Regions from separate parts of the Mus musculus genome. Here region 1 is reported to be linked to region 2. The links are microRNA targets in miRTarBase. Many come from high-throughput screens and were not tested one by one. Region 2 holds a microRNA gene; the other region holds the end of a gene's coding sequence.

Evidence for each region. Region 2 holds the annotated microRNA mmu-miR-3471 (UGAGAUCCAACUGUAAGGCAUU, at 2,061-2,082, shown strand). A microRNA usually pairs through its seed, bases 2 to 8, with sites in the 3' UTR of a target mRNA and lowers its output. Matches are read on the target gene's strand: a 7mer-m8 pairs with bases 2 to 8, a 7mer-A1 pairs with bases 2 to 7 and ends in A, and an 8mer does both.
Region 1: miRTarBase lists Ankrd28 as a target of mmu-miR-3471. Seed matches in the 3' UTR shown: 7mer-A1 at 1,285-1,291.

The regions. Positions count from the first base shown.
Region 1 is chr14:31,699,463-31,702,462 of GRCm38, forward strand. Ankrd28 (ankyrin repeat domain 28) reads right to left here. Exons shown (of 28, transcript NM_001024604.2): 28 at 553-2,844. The coding sequence ends at 2,558. Among named protein-coding and RNA genes, the nearest start is that of Btd, 60 kb to the left of the region's middle.
Region 2 is chr4:3,535,043-3,538,280 of GRCm38, forward strand. It overlaps Mir3471-2 (microRNA 3471-2), which reads left to right and starts at 2,048; the gene lies at 2,048-2,149.

The sequences.
Region 1 (3,000 bases), not on the chromosome of region 2:
CAGCATTCCCTTGGAGGACAGAGCTGGGCCCAAGGACAGAAGTTACCAGGAGGGAGGCTTCAGCTCCATTAAGGAGACCTTCCTAACAGAGCTGCTCAACAATGAATGGACTGCTCGTGAGGTAGTCACTGGAAGTGTTCAAGGTGGAAAGACAACCTTGGAGAAGGGACTCCTGCATTTAAGAGGTTAGACTGGATGGACCTCAGGTCTCTTTCAATTCTGAGATTCTAGAAAATTCCCTCAGGGAATTCAGAAGAGAATTCCTAAAAGGAAAGAGAAAGCACACATATGGTATACTTTTAGAATCCTCTTGAGTTTTCTTTTTTAAAAGGTACAATAGAAATGTAGTCTACGGTCTTTTAAAATGCATATTTACCCTTCTCCCACTATTAATTACGAAGGGTTCATTACGACTCCTTTATATTATAAAGAAAAGATGGAGATTATATTTATAATTTTGCAAATATTTTAGAAAAATGCTTAAAATCTAGTAGTCAATGCCCTAGAAACTTTATAGATTTTTAAGTAATATGCACAGATACAAATACATTATTCATTAAATACAGCTCACGTCTGTGTTTTATTATACTCTAAAATATACAGGAATCTTGATGTACTGAAAGAGTGCAAGTAAATACAGGATTCAAGCAGTCACTATTTCTATGTACATGCTCATTAATTCTTCAAAAAACCCACAAAATTATCAAATAGATCAAAATACTGTTCTGTGTTTTCACACTTTATATTCAGAAAAACCAGCTGATAATTTACAATGTCATAAAGTTCCAGTTTCACAATACAAAAAGGGTAAGATGGAATTGGGTATCATTTTGTTGCAATGTATGGAACTTTACCCAGCTCTAGTAAGACCCCTCCCCCCAATGTAAAATCATTGTTACTGGGAAAGTGACAGTTACAATAAAAGAACCACAGAAAAGTGTAATTTAAAATTAGCCTACTGTCAGCCTCTTCTCTGTTACCTGAAAGGCAGTCTTCAATTTGGCAGGCAAGCTCTGACAGTAAGAAGCTGCACACCCGCTACTCTAGATCTCAGGAGGACCTAAAGCCTGAAGTATTTTAAATCTTGCCCAGTACAGAAATGCCTTCCAAATGACCTGATTCTGTTTATGTTATGAGTCATCATCTAAAGCAAACTCCAATGCTTCTGAGAAGGAAGCCAAATGGTTTGATGTTGATTTTTATAAAGAAAACATCTGAAGCCAGGCAGTGGTGGTGCACACCTTTAATCCCAGCACTTAGGAAGCTGAGACAGGTGAATCTCTGTGAGATCGAGGCCAGCCTGGTCTACAAAGCAAACTCTAGTACAGCCAGGGCTACACATAGAGAGCCCTGTCTTAAAACAACAAACGACTACAACAACAACAACAACAACAAAGGAAAGGATGCATTCAAGAACCTTCCAGTGCTGTGAGGACGCAGGAGAGGAAGCAGGTACATTTTTAAGTATTTTCTTTTACATAAAACATTTACAATCCCAGTTTGTATAGAATTCACAACCAGCTTTCGACAATGTTTCATAACAAGAGTCTTCAAACTTTTTAAAATTTTGATTCTTGTTTTTAAAGTTCAAAGATTAAAATAAATGACAATAGAATTCCTCCAGCCAAAAAAGGTAGAGGTCCCAAAGTAACTAACGTGATGCAGGTGTGCCGCGCACAGAGAGGCTCAGATGTCCCTTCTCCAGGACCGCTGCATTACAAGAGGTGAAATAGTCTGTTTTTTAAATTCATTAAAAATTTCCTCTATGGAATTCCTTAAACAAAAACAATTCAATTTAAAAGCAAACCACTCAATCGTGGGCAACAGCCCTGACTTCATCTGCGTCTGTCTCTAGTACTTTCAACCACGCTGCACCCAGTTAACTGGTTCTGAAGTCTATAAAAAGTGGAATTTAAAAACTTTTATATTAAAAAATGTAAAAATACATCTGCTTCCTCTCATGGCTTAATACAGTAGATGCTTTCTTATAAAAACCAACACCAAACCGAATCTGGCCTCACTTTCAGAAGCACTGAAGTTTGCTTTAGACGACTTCTCATTTCATCTATTTCCGTTTCCACAAAATGGAGTTCTAATAAAAAAATCTGTATGTTATTTGGTCCTTGGCAATTTGATGTGTACATAATGCCTATTATACCAAACTTTTATTGCATTAAAATTTAGCTGTAATTTTATGGGTAAAATTTAATCTAGTGTTTTGATCTCTTTCTTTACAGCAGTGTTGCCCATGTAAGCAGGTCAGGGAGCAGTGTCCCAATTTCTGGCACTGCAAAGCCAATTAAACGATCCCACAAAGCAATCGACATCACTGTGTTTTCCACTGGTCAAGTCATTATTAAGATTCTAGAAGTTCCTTTTGCAAAACTTGCCTTTAAGACTCTTCTTCCTAATGTCATCATGTTTCTTCCATTCGTTCACTGCATGATCTTTCTTCAGGTTGAATCTGTGTATGATAAGAAAGTGCCTTTTTCCCGAAAAAGCCCGATTTGAAGTTTCAGTGTCAGAACTTCCTTAGAGCTGCAGCTCACTCGGCCTTTCAGTAGGTCTCGGAGTCAGAGTCGTTGAGCTCATCCACGTCGGTGTACAAGTACTCCTGCTCGCCACCAATGTTGTTAAAACTGCAGTAGGAGCTGGCTTCATTCCTCATGATAGGCAAGGCTTCAAAGCTAACTGTTTTTGAGGTGTTGGTATAACGGTTAATGGCATTGAATGTCAGGGATGTCAATGGGCTACTTGACGAGACAGGCATCATGGTGGCCAAAATGAGAGCCAGGCAGTCAGCCACATCCTTATTGGGAGCACAGGCCAAAGCTGGGGTGTAGCCTATAATTGAATTTAAAATTTAAAAGTTAACATCCCAAGATCTTCCATCTTCACACACAGATTTGATGGCTTACAGCAGATACTTTGAGTAGATAAATTCACAACTGTCTAGTAAGCAGGAAGAGGTACAATGCTAAGAATGTGAGGTAGAAGGAG
Region 2 (3,238 bases):
CAAAGGACAACAGCGTGATACTATTTATTTGAGGTGTGCAGAGTAGAGAAACATATTCAAACAGAAGGTAGAAATTGTGTTTTGGCTGAGCATGTGTGCAGGGGCTGAGGGACAGATTGCTTTGCTGATTCTTCAGTTATTAAAATAAACTTTCATCATTTCATCTGAGATGACAAAAGTTCTGGAACATGACTCATAGTGATGGTCCTACACTGTGAATGTACTTAACAACAGTGAGTATATTTGAAATTATCAAACAATGAACTTGATATCACATGTATTTTCCAAAAAGAAAACAAAACATTTTTGAGAAATGATCATTACGGTGTCAAACAGATGGATTAGCAGGTAAAGACATTTGTTGCCAAGCCTCACTGGCCAGTTTAACCCTCAGAACCAATGTCGTAAGAGAGAATAAGCTCCCACAGGAAGTCCTCTGACCTCCACATGCATGCTGTGCAGCACAGGCAGGCATACACGAAAGCACACATGTGTGCACGCAGGCACACACACACACACACAGAGTAAACAATCAAGCAAATAGATGGGTAGGTATGATGTTACTATGCACTGTGTAAAGATTATTAAATGCTGATCACCCCCATCCCCTACTCCAACCCAATTATCTGTTGCAATCTGGACATGGCATCCTATAAACACTGCTCCCCATTTATTCTCTGAATTGTCAATAAAAGCTCATCAGCCAATGGCTGAGCAGAAAAAAAGAACAGGGCCAGACTTCTGATCCCAGCCAGGAGACAGGGAGAAAGAGAAAGAAGGATTCACCACAAGGAGAGCCCAGAGGACACCATGGGAACACATCCGGAGCAGACAGATACTAAAATGCACTTGCATCTTGAGGATTTGGGCTGGGAGGTAGCCAGATTAGTTTAGAAGATTCAAGTATATTAATACTGCTCGGCTATTGTGCCACAAGTTTGATTAAATCTTATAGTCTCTAATTCATTAATTTGGGAGGTAACCAGGATAGAGAAAAAAACTGTCACTTTTAAAACTGCACTAATGCAAACGTAAAGAAAAATCATCATCAAATATAGAACTACAGAAACACGCCCACAAATCACAGCCATCCCTTCAGTCCACTATATGCAAACTTCAGAAGGCCTCAGTTCAAACAGCTTAAATGGTTATGCGTAACTCTTTGATGAATCCCTTGTCTAAGCTCCAGATAGTCTTTCTAAACTGCCAACTGCTAAGTACAGAACACAACTACAAACCTACACTACTAAAATCCCAGACTAACAATTCGTCCAAACAAGAGTTAAAGGATGATAAACTAGTAAATTAAAGTTTAGTGAAGGTCAGAGATACAGATGCTTTCAAAGTATCTGTCCATATATTTACTGATTAAGAAGACAAAAATAACTTTGGGGAGAGAACTGTGCTCACTGTCTTAACTGACCAGTTAACTACCATTACAGATGACACAAATCAACAAGATCTCCTCATGTGATGTGCTTTTAAAAGCCATACCATTAAAATCGTAAGTCTGGATCACACTGAATCAAGTCATGATAAAAGCATCAGAAAATAAAAATTAAGGGATTAACAAGGAAACAAGCATTCCTTCCATTCCAAATTCACAGTATTAAAGACAATATAAGGACTGAGAAATCACACCATATTACATAGGACTAAAGAGGCAGGAAAACTGCACTGTTCCAAGTTTCCAGTGAAGGTTGAAGTAAAAAATCTGATATAACCATAGTGGAAAACTAATGAACATTGAATTTTTAATATTATTTACTGTGTATATGTGTGGGCATACAGAAGCCACAGTAAACATGTATGGTCAGAGAACAATTGGCAGGGTTTTTTTCTTTTCTTTCCACCATGTGGGTCCCAGGGATTGAATGCAGGCTTGGTAGCAAGTGTCTTTATCTGCTGTGGTGCTTTGAATGTCTGTCCCCCTACCACCAGATTCCTGTGTTTTAATGTTTGGCCATAGCAGATGGTACTTGTACTGGCTAGTTTTGTGTCAACTTGACACAGCTGGAGTTATCACAGAGAAAGGAGCTGCAATTGAAGAAATGCCTCCATGAGATCCAACTGTAAGGCATTTTCCCAATTAGTGATAAAGGGGAAAAGGCCCCTTGTGGGTGGGACAATCTCTGGGCTGGTAGTCTTGGGTTCTATAAGAGAGCAGGCTGAGCAAGCCAGGGGAAGCAAGTCAGTAAGGAACATCCCTCCATGGCCTCTGCATCAGCTTCTGCTTTCTGACCTGCTTGAGTTCCAGTCCTGACTTCCTTGGTGATGAACAGCAATGTGGAAGTGTAAGCCGAATAAACCCTTTCCTCCCCAACTTGCTTCCTGGTCATGATGTTTGTACAGGACTAGAAACCCTGACTAAGACAGTACTATTAAGAGGTATGGCCTTATTGGAGCAGGTGTGGCCTTGATGGAGGAAGTGGGTCATTGTGTAGGTGGGCTTTGAGGTATCCTATGCTCAGGCTCTGCCCAGTGTGGAATCAGAGTCTCTTTCTGCTGCTTCAAATGAAGATGTAGAACTCTCGGCGCCTCCAGTATCATGTCTTCCTGCAAGATGTCATTCTTTCCACCATGATGATAATGAACTAAATCTCAAAAACTGTACGCTAGCCTCAATGAAATATTTGCCTTGATAAAAGTTGTCTTGTCCATGGAATCTCTTTACAGCAATAAAATCTAAATTAAGACACCTGCTGAGACATCTTGGTTCCGGGACTCCGCCGAGAGTATTCTGCAAGGTGAGAGTGTGGACTACAGAAGCTAACAGCTTCTGGGACAGGAGGGAGCCACAGAGCTTCTGAGGCAGACCCTTTTAGGGCTCCAGACATCCGTGCACCTTGCCGGCCAGAGGATAGGTGTACACCTGGCCCGGGAGGGCTTTGCCTGAGCATCGGCTGCAGACATCTTGGTTCCGGGACTCCTCTGAGAGTATTCTGCACAGGTGAGAGTGTGGACTACAGAGGGTAACAGCTTCTGTGACAGGCCGAAGCACACAGCTTCTGGGACAGATCCTGTTTTGGGCATTCATCTTTAGCCAGGAGGGAGGTCCGAACGCCAGATCTCTGTGCACCTTCCCTGTAAGAGGAGACCTTGCCTGCAGAGAGTGCTCTGACCACTGAAACTCAGAGGAGAGAGATAGTCTCCCAGGTCTGCTGATAGAGGGTAACAGAATCACGAGAGGAACAATCTCTAACCAGAAACAACTAAATCAACTAACTCTAGAGATTAC